Caenorhabditis elegans: one gene and its partner. The protein of the gene in region 1 interacts with the protein of each later gene in a biochemical or structural test. Each region holds a gene or a part of one and is shown on either strand. Other genes may lie near its edges.

What was found.
Region 2: the proteins of stam-1 (region 1) and ubq-1 form a complex in vitro, tested with the Caenorhabditis elegans proteins (one study listed by BioGRID).

What each region holds. Positions count from the first base shown.
Region 1 is NC_003279.8:5,901,594-5,906,552, forward strand, and holds stam-1 (Signal transducing adapter molecule 1), read right to left. Parts: upstream 3,103-4,959; 5' UTR 3,047-3,102; coding exon 3,041-3,046; intron 2,735-3,040; coding exon 2,627-2,734; intron 2,445-2,626; coding exon 2,253-2,444; intron 2,051-2,252; coding exon 1,853-2,050; intron 1,800-1,852; coding exon 1,549-1,799; intron 1,385-1,548; coding exon 952-1,384; coding exon of another isoform or gene 922-951; intron 855-921; coding exon 669-854; 3' UTR 512-668; downstream 1-511. Other genes in the region: tyr-4 (ShKT domain-containing protein), read left to right, coding at 17-441.
Region 2 is NC_003281.10:5,938,758-5,944,364, reverse strand, and holds ubq-1 (Ubiquitin-related), read right to left. Parts: upstream 3,380-5,607; 5' UTR 3,375-3,379; coding exon 3,008-3,374; intron 2,958-3,007; coding exon 2,502-2,957; intron 2,449-2,501; coding exon 1,765-2,448; intron 1,717-1,764; coding exon 1,033-1,716; intron 983-1,032; coding exon 657-982; 3' UTR 538-656; downstream 1-537. Other genes in the region: F25B5.5 (CDK5RAP1-like protein), read left to right, coding at 1-36, 80-229, 279-449. UniProt on the Caenorhabditis elegans protein: Ubiquitin exists either covalently attached to another protein, or free (unanchored).

The DNA of each region.
Region 1 (4,959 bases):
AAAATATATATTTCAGCATGCGTCGACTACCATAGATCATGTGCCGGATGGGCTCGTGTCGGTGAATGTCAGAAAAATCCATGGATGGCTGAGAATTGTAGATCAAGCTGTAACAGTTGCTATACTCAATCAGAGCTTCGTAGAATGTGTGGAACTACAGCTGGATCAGTTGCTCCAGTTGCACAAGTTCGTCAGACTAATCCATCTCGTCAACCACCACGTGGAGGTTGGGGACGTGACGATTTCGGAGATAATGGAGGATGGGGTGGAAATGGAGGTGGTGGATGGGGAAACAATGATCCATGGGGAGGATCAAGATGGGGTGGTGGAAGAGGTGGATGGGGTGGAGGTGGATGGGGAGGCGGTGGATGGGGTAAACGATCCATTCGAGCAGCCAATGCATCAATTTCAATGCCATCTTTTGATCCGGACCTCTTGTAATTTTTGTTACCTTTTCTCAATTTATCCGATTATTTTCGTGTATAATAAATATTTGCCTCAAACTCAATAAAGAATTCATTTTTATCTTATCGAGAACTCGAGGAAGCAAAAGACTATACAGAAACGGGTGGCGAATCGAGAAAAATAAGTTAGAAGTGATCACAATATCAATGGAACTAGTTACAGATTCAAGGAGGAAAAGGTGATATTCACAACAAATCAAAAAGTTAATATTGTTGAGGCTGTGAAGACGGAGCAGGCCATTGTTGTTGCTGTTGTTGAGGTTGGGGAACAGAATTCGGTGGGCATGCGTACTGTGGTTGTGCTCCAGGAGCCGGATAGTGTTGTGGAGGATATTGTTGTGGCTGCTGTTGTTGGACAGGACCGGTAGGTGGGTAATATGCTCGGTTTGGCTGAAAAATACGATTTTTTGAATTGATAGGCATTACCGTGAAGCTTAGAATGAAAAATTTCAGTTTTCTAAATATTTTTTTCTGAATAAAAACTGACTGGTTGCTGATAGTTGTACTGTTGCATTGGTTGTTGGTACATTCCTTGACTTTGATGCTGAAATCCTCCCTTCTGAATCGCATCATCATAAAGTGCGAGCACATCACGAATAGCCACATCGATTTGTGCTAGAGAGTTGCTCTGTCGATCAATACTAGCCAAATGTGCATCAATGAGATTTCCTTGAGCATACGAGGCGGCTTCTAGTTGGGCCAAATCCTCTGGATCCTGTCGTTCACCGGTAGGATCACATTCATGGAGTACTTGAAGACAACGAACAAGGATTGCTTCATTAATTGAGGCTACAACTTCTGGGGCTTTCTGTGATGAATCCGTCTCTTTTGATTTTAGATCATCGAGTTGATTAGTAACGAAGCTGGATGGGAAAAGTCCCTGTTGGGTACCAATACGACCAGTCCACCAGTGGGGATTGCTGCAAAAAATTGTTTTTTTTTTGATAATTGATAGAAGCAGTCAGTAACGAAAAGGTTCGGTATGATTAATTTTAAATTACAAAAAAAAAAACTGAAGAACTTCCTGATTTGATTTTTAAGCGATTGCTTTCAATTTAAACTAGAACACATTTTTGTTGCTTACCTTTCATCAGTAATTGTAATAATATCTCCAGCAACAAAAGATAATTCATTGCTTTCAGCAGCCTCAAAATCGTATAACGCTCGAACATTCTTTTCCGGAATATTCGAATTAGTCTGAACTGCTGGACTACTTGCTTTTGCTGATGGATACATTGTGGATGTTGATTTTTTTGCTTTTTCCTGTTTCTCTGCATCCGCCAATGAAGCAGCAATGGCTTTTGCGATTGCTTCTTCTTCCTGAGCAGATCCAACCTATAATAATTATTAATTTTTGATATTTATTGCCGCGAACTTCCACAACTCACATAATTCGGATCATTTGCAAACTTTGCATCAATCGCTTTCGTTTTACTTTTTGGATCATCCACAACAAATGAGTAGCCATCAGCAACAAGATTTTTGTGAAGAGTGACGATAAGTGACAGTGATTGTTCAGTTTTGCATTCTGTATCCACCCATTTTTGAACAGTTAATCGCATTTTTTCAGCAACTTGGCGTTGACTCTATAATAATTGTAAATTTTTGTATTTTTTTTTGTAAACGCGGTGAAATGTATCGTATTTTCGTATTATACTTATTTTTCTAACTCTATTTCTCTTTTTTATCTCTTTTCTGCGTATACTATATCTATTAAAGAAATACAAAACTTCATGAAAGAAATTTTGATATTTTGTTTAACAATTTCAGATTTAAACAAAAACTCACCGATGTACAAAGAGCTTTGAGTTCATTGATAAATTGTGCAGACGATACTTCCTTTCTGAATCTTTCTTCACAGTTTGCCCAACACGAATCAAGTACAGAAATCGCTAGAAGGACAACATGAGGATCACGATTGTTGAGACGTTTACGAAGTGATTTGATTCCTGTTTTCGATCCCTCGAAGTCGTTATTAATCTGAAAATTTTAAACTAAAACATTAAGTTTAGTCCAAAATCAATGATTTTCGGTGAAAATCAGCTAGCAAATTTAAGGAGGAAATTTTAATTTTAAAATATGATTTTTTATCAAACGACAAAGAATTCTATCTATAAATCAGTGAAAAGGTTTATACATTTTTTAAAACAAATTGAACGAACCATATCACAAAATGCGAGAATTCCCTCCCAATTCTCAACAGTGATAGTTGGAGCAGTGATTTTTCCGAGCAAATCCTCATAAGCAGACATTGGAAATGACTTTTGTTTCTGAAAATATAAAAAAGGAATATTACGAAAGAAAATTGAATCAATAACGGGTTTGCTTGTTGAATGTGTTAGTCGGGTGAACTGAAAGAGAGAGTGTAGGGGGATGAAGAGACATTAGACGGGTTAAGACACTGACGCATATGCTTTGTGTGTTCGTTCGTGCACACTTTTTTCTATGTTTTTGTTTTGTTTTCTTCCTTTCCGAAAACTTAATCATTTTTTACTGAATGAAAAAAAATCTATTTGAATGAACAATTACTCTTAACACTATTTTTAATTAAAGTAGAGATAGGAAAACGAACAAACCTTCATTGTTACAGCAGACTTTCAGCACGTGATCAGGTTCAATTGAATGAGTCTCACTGAAACTGAATATTTATTTCGAAATAATTTTCAAAAGCGTGATATTTAAAATATTGAGGGCAAAGACGATCGATATTCAATTTAGTTTGAGCAATTTGTTTATTTTTTCGAAAAAATGAATACTTTTGCCTTTCGCAATCGCAGATTTTCGAGAACTTGCGTCTCACGCGTGTACCAATCACATTCATGCGTTTAATTGAAAAAAAAAACATTTTAAAACTGCAATGCACATTTTTATAGAAAAATTAAATAACTTTCGAGAAAAATTAAATTCCAAAGAGAAGAAAGATTGTGGAATAATTCAAAAAAAATGATCTGAACAACTGTAGAATTCGTGGCAGACCCTCATGCTACAAATCGCGCGCTCCTTTAATCTTTCAAATTTTTTTCTCTGTTTAAACATGTTTTTTTTTAATTTTCAGTGTCCATGCTTTTTCTAAACTTTTAAAACTAAATGTTACTCAATAATTAGTTCAAAATTATTAAAAGTAGATTACTGGGACGTTTTTAATGTTTTTTCCTAAAAAATAATACTTTAGAACCTGAAAACGCTTCGTAACAAAATGTTCAATTTTTCGTTTTCAAAAAAATTTGTTCAGACTTCTATTTATTCCATTCATATTTCTTACTTCTCATCGTAATAGAATTTTTAAAAATTGTTGAAAAAAAATCCAAATCCAAATTGTTTATAAGCACAATTGTTTGCACTTTCATTGTTGATTCCACCTGCTTTTCGTTCTTTTCTCTCTCTCTCACCACTCTTCCACTCTGTGTTCATATAAATTTTCATTTCCGTTCGATTCTCTTCACCTAATTCGTCAAAAAGGGGCCCAACAACAGCCACAAGCGGTAGCTGCTGCCGATAGCGAGCCATAAAAATACATCGAAAACGACACGAAACATTATCGATTTAGTTATTTTTTCTATCTAGAGCCAATTCATATTTTTCTATCTAGAGCCAATTCACACGAATTTTTGCATGTGCTTATCAGTTTTTCGACGAAATTTTGTAAACTTGGCGAGTTGATATAGATTAATCAGTGTAATTTGTCCTGTGTACACTGTCTAGAGTTTCCATGTTTGATTTTTTTCAAATTTCAAGTTTGTGGTTTGCAAATAGCTTTGAAATTTTACTGAATGTTCTAGTTTTTTACTAACTCATTTGAATTTTGTAATTCAATGAAATTATATAAGTATTATTCTGGATCGGTTATCAATTTAATCGAAAAAGACGAAAAGTCAATCGACTTGATCATGCAATCCGCGCAAAACTGGTCTATGGCATGCGTAATACAACACATAATGTTCATCACCAACCCCGTGCCTCCCAAAATACACATTGGTACTCATTTTACTCACAAAAACTTTCATAACTTCTTTCTTTAAAGTTATATTTTATTCTTAGTCTTCTATATCGAAATTTTTTTTTGAAATTCGGTTTTAAACCTTAATGGTTTTAATTATTAATTAAAGTTAAAAGTGGACTACGACTAATGGGGAAATTATTAAAAACTATTCATATGCTGTTGAAATTACCGAATCTCGTTATAAAGATTTTCAAAAAATTTTGGAATTTTTTATTTCGAGTCAAATTTGAAAAATCTAAATCACTGTCGCATGTTTGAATCTCCACAATGTTGGAATATAAGTATTTTAAACATAATTAAGTCAAAAAATCGAAGAAAAATTCCATAATTTCCAAATTTTTTGACAATTTTATTATGACATTTAGTCATTTGGTCACAGCATAGGAATTATTTTACACATTCCCCACTGGCAGTAGCCAACCTTCAAGAGAACAACTAATAGGTTGTTAAAAATAATATTCCTAATGTCTGTTCTGAATATTTTCGGTACAATTT
Region 2 (5,607 bases), on another chromosome or scaffold:
TCATTCTGCTTCGTTTTCCCCTACAGTATGCGTGGAGTGAGTCAGTTGCTGAAAATTGTTCCTATCAGATTATTTTCAGAAAACGCGAGCACATCATCGGTTAACAGACGATGTTCCAGAAGATGTAAAAGCAAGAAGACATTTAGATTTGACTACTGTATTTCGGGAAGAAGCATTGAAATTGAACCAAGCGCTTATCGGGTCGGAACAGACGGTTTTGTTGGAAGGAGTGAGTCATCTATAAACACCAATAAAATGAATTAAAATAATATTTTTAGAAGTCAAAAAGGGATGCATCATTTTCACATGGAAGGATCGATGGTGGTGTGAAAGCAGTGTTCGACAATTCGAAACTCTGTTTGGAACCTGGTCAATATGCAAAGATTCTGATCACCGACGCCAATTCGCAGACATTGAAAGCGCAACTCATAGGACAATCCAGCATCTGATCTATAAATATAGTTGAACCTTACACTTCATAGAGTAGTTATCTTTGTTGTTTGTTATTGTTAAAGATAAATCGTTTGAGTACACGAAAATGAATTTATTCAGAGCTCGTTCATTAAAATACAGAAATTCCCGAAGGAATAAAGAATAAATAATTGTTACTTGAACGGAGATCGAGGAGGAATAACGAGTGAATTGATGGGTTCGATTTAAATGTCTCCTCCGCGAAGACGAAGAACGAGATGAAGTGTCGACTCCTTTTGGATGTTGTAATCGGATAGAGTGCGTCCATCCTCGAGCTGCTTTCCAGCAAAGATCAAACGTTGCTGATCTGGTGGGATTCCCTCCTTATCCTGGATTTTGGCTTTGACATTCTCAATGGTGTCCGAAGCTTCGACCTCGAGAGTGATGGTTTTTCCAGTCAAAGTCTTGACGAAGATCTGCATACCTCCTCTGAGACGGAGCACCAAATGAAGAGTAGACTCCTTCTGGATATTGTAGTCCGAAAGGGTACGGCCATCCTCGAGTTGCTTTCCTGAAAAACAATAAAAATTAGTTTTAATTCTAAAAACAATATGAACTCACCAGCGAAAATAAGTCTCTGCTGATCTGGTGGAATTCCTTCCTTGTCTTGGATCTTGGCCTTGACATTTTCGATGGTGTCGGAGGCTTCGACTTCGAGGGTGATGGTCTTTCCGGTCAATGTCTTGACGAAGATCTGCATACCTCCTCTCAGACGGAGAACCAAATGAAGAGTAGACTCCTTTTGGATGTTGTAGTCGGAGAGGGTACGACCGTCTTCGAGTTGTTTTCCGGCGAAGATGAGTCTCTGCTGATCTGGTGGGATTCCTTCCTTGTCTTGAATCTTGGCCTTCACATTCTCGATGGTATCAGAGGCTTCGACTTCAAGTGTGATGGTCTTTCCAGTCAATGTCTTGACGAAGATCTGCATACCTCCTCTGAGACGGAGCACCAAATGGAGGGTTGATTCCTTCTGGATATTGTAGTCCGAAAGGGTACGGCCATCCTCGAGTTGCTTTCCGGCGAAGATCAAGCGTTGCTGATCTGGTGGGATACCTTCTTTGTCTTGGATCTTGGCCTTCACGTTCTCAATAGTGTCAGAAGCTTCCACCTCGAGCGTGATGGTCTTTCCTGTAAGAGTCTTGACGAAGATCTGCATTCCTCCTCGGAGACGGAGAACCAAGTGAAGAGTAGATTCCTTCTGAATGTTGTAATCAGAGAGCGTGCGCCCATCTTCCAATTGCTTTCCTGAAATAATAATAGTTGATTTGAGTTATGTATATCTATATAACGTACCGGCAAAGATAAGACGCTGCTGATCTGGTGGGATTCCTTCCTTGTCTTGGATCTTGGCCTTCACATTTTCGATGGTATCAGAGGCTTCGACTTCGAGGGTGATAGTCTTTCCAGTCAAAGTCTTCACGAAGATTTGCATACCTCCTCTCAAACGGAGAACCAAATGAAGAGTTGATTCCTTCTGGATGTTGTAGTCCGAAAGGGTGCGGCCGTCTTCGAGCTGCTTTCCAGCGAAGATGAGACGTTGCTGATCTGGAGGAATTCCTTCCTTGTCCTGAATCTTGGCCTTCACGTTCTCGATGGTATCGGAGGCTTCGACTTCGAGGGTGATGGTCTTTCCGATAAGAGTCTTGACGAAGATTTGCATTCCTCCTCGGAGACGGAGAACCAAATGAAGAGTAGACTCCTTTTGGATGTTGTAATCGGAGAGAGTACGGCCATCCTCGAGTTGCTTTCCGGCAAAGATCAAACGCTGTTGATCTGGTGGGATACCTTCCTTGTCTTGGATCTTGGCCTTCACGTTCTCAATAGTGTCAGAAGCTTCAACCTCAAGAGTAATAGTCTTTCCGGTCAAAGTCTTGACGAAGATCTGCATTCCTCCTCTTAGGCGGAGCACCAAATGGAGGGTTGATTCCTTCTGGATATTGTAGTCCGAAAGGGTACGGCCATCCTCGAGTTGCTTTCCTGAAAATATATAATAAATTTTAGGTCAAATATTAGATATTTTGCCAACGTACCAGCAAAAATAAGTCTCTGCTGATCTGGTGGAATTCCTTCCTTGTCTTGGATCTTGGCCTTGACATTTTCGATGGTGTCGGAGGCTTCGACTTCGAGGGTGATGGTCTTTCCGGTCAATGTCTTGACGAAGATCTGCATACCTCCTCTCAAACGGAGAACCAAATGAAGAGTTGATTCCTTCTGGATGTTGTAGTCCGAAAGGGTGCGGCCGTCCTCGAGCTGCTTTCCGGCGAAGATAAGTCTTTGCTGATCTGGTGGGATTCCTTCTTTATCTTGAATCTTAGCCTTGACATTTTCGATCGTGTCGGAAGCTTCGACTTCAAGTGTGATGGTCTTTCCAGTCAATGTCTTGACGAAGATCTGCATACCTCCTCTGAGGCGGAGCACCAAGTGGAGAGTAGACTCTTTCTGAATATTGTAATCAGAGAGTGTGCGTCCATCTTCCAATTGCTTTCCTGGAAAAAAATTAGTCTCTCATGAACAAAATTTGTTATATGTAACATACCAGCAAAGATAAGACGCTGCTGATCTGGTGGGATTCCCTCCTTGTCTTGAATCTTGGCCTTGACGTTCTCGATCGTGTCGGAAGCTTCAACTTCAAGTGTGATGGTCTTTCCAGTCAAAGTCTTGACAAAGATCTGCATTCCTCCTCTAAGACGAAGAACCAAGTGAAGAGTAGATTCCTTCTGGATGTTGTAGTCAGACAGGGTGCGGCCGTCCTCGAGCTGCTTTCCGGCGAAGATGAGACGCTGCTGATCTGGTGGAATTCCTTCCTTGTCTTGGATCTTGGCTTTGACATTTTCGATGGTATCGGAAGCCTCCACCTCCAGGGTGATAGTTTTTCCAGTCAACGTTTTGACGAAGATTTGCATGATTGCTGAAAAAATAGAAAATGAGTGCGAATAAAACTGGAATGAGGAGGCGAGAGAAGAGGTGATTATGAAAGAAAGTCCTAGAAAGTTGCGAAATATTACCCAAAAAATCGATACACTAGTAAGACTAACAAAGCAAACTTCATCCCCACTCGTCATAGGCAAGTCAAACGAAAAAAGAAAGGCATAAAAGTAAAATGGTAGTAAAGAGCTAATCGATGAGGAGTAATGTCCGAGTAGAGACAAGTGAAATGAGAATGGAGACAAGGTGGCACGCGAGCGGAGCGTTCTGGTCGAATGGGGTGTATGACTGCTGTATGCCCGCCTCAACGATCGATAAAACCCCCAACGCACGCGCACACTGACTCCGCCTTCCCCGAGTGTTGTTAGAGACGCAGATGTTCAGCTGATGTCCTCGTTTCTCTGACCGAAAATAACTACCAAGCAGTATTGCTAAAATGGGAAAATAATTCATATAACAACTGATTGAGATTATTCAAAAAAGCATGACATTTCTGTTGGTTTTACCCCGCTAAATCTTACAATTAGACAAAAAAAAAGAAACTCACCGTTTGGTAAACTGATTCTTGACAGTAATAAATTAAAGAGCGCCCAAAACGTGAATATTGAATCTACACGTTGAACTTTACTCAAACATTCTAATTAAACGACGCACGTATTATTGAAGGCCACAAAGTAAAAAATGTTGCTATGCTCACTTTCTGTTAGCAAGAAGTCGCCTATTACGAGAACCAGTGAGGAAGAGCAAGAGAAAGGAGGGGGGGGGGGGGGGTCGCTGACTCAAACGGCACTCTTTCTGCACAAGAAGAACATTCTAGAGTGCTGTGTAGGGAAAGAAATGATGAGGAAGAAGGGGACAATGTGTGCAGAGGGAATACAACGAAAATCGAACGGGGTGTTCTTTTTTCTCGTCATGCAACTGGGTCGACCAGTTTCTTTTCATCTTTAACTAAACGATAGAGAAATCATAGGCCTGAATAATAGTGACGTCTGTGTAAAGTATTGTTTCCATTTTTGTTACAGAAAATGATGAAACGAAGAATAGGAAAAGTGAACAGGGTCAGTTGTTCGTTTGACGCATATATAGGGAGAACATAAGAAAGAGCAGACGGTCAAGGACATTTTTTTATAATCTGCGACTAGCAGGAAAGTATGAATAATGTCCTAACGGCACCCGAACCAATTTTCAGACAGACGCGAAAGTGCTTGTACTTTGTACTGATGAACGAACGACAAAACAAGTGCAGTGAGAAAACGGGAGGACACTGGGGAGAATCATGTGAGCCCGTCATAAGACTAAAAGATGAGCTAGTGGCGATCAGGCGAAGGTTCAATACGACTATTGGGTCTTTTCAAGAGAGCCCCGGAAAACTAAATTTAAAAACATCAGTTAAGAGTACAACGAGAACAGGGAATGAGGAACGCACAGACTAAACATTAAAATTTTCCGATACTTTTCGAAAGTATTGCGAAATCAATAACAAAATACTTTGCTATGAGTTTTTTAAATGAAAACCGAAATAATGCAATTTTCTGAATGCTGGAAAGAGTGAAAAAGCGATACGAAAAAGCAGAGAGCAGCGAAAATAGCCGGCAACTCAAGATAATGAGAGAGCGCGAATGAATGAAGAAAATGATGGAAAGATCTGGAAAACAGAAACGAGCGGCAGAACGAATGCGAACGCGCCTTTCATGGTAGTGCGTGGCGGTTTCGTGGCGGGACCCAGGGAGGATTGCAGAACATGTTCCTTTAAATTAATTATTTATATTTTCATTGTAAATTTGTTTAAGAATACGAGAATTCTCGAATCCAGTTTGGAAAATATAATAAAAATTAAATGTTTTCAAAGAAAGATATCGAGACAGTTGCACATTAAACTTCCCGACAAAATCTATATTTAAATACGTTTTTCGAGTTTCTGATTTATTATGTGTCATGTTAAAATTGAAACATTACGCAATACTTTGAACTATGTTATTTATCATCAGAAAAAATTGACGTCTCATGAAAAATTAAAGCCTTGTGATCAAATTTCAAGGGTAACAAAAAATGATAATGACCAAAGCTTCATGTTTCTGATAAAATTTTATTGTATGGTCTTATAGGAGAAAATTGTACAATTCTCATTCTCCGGAAATTATTCCGAAGTGGAAGCTCACACTTGTTTTTGTTTTTCTCCATATCGAAATTTCACCGGGCTAAAATAGGAAT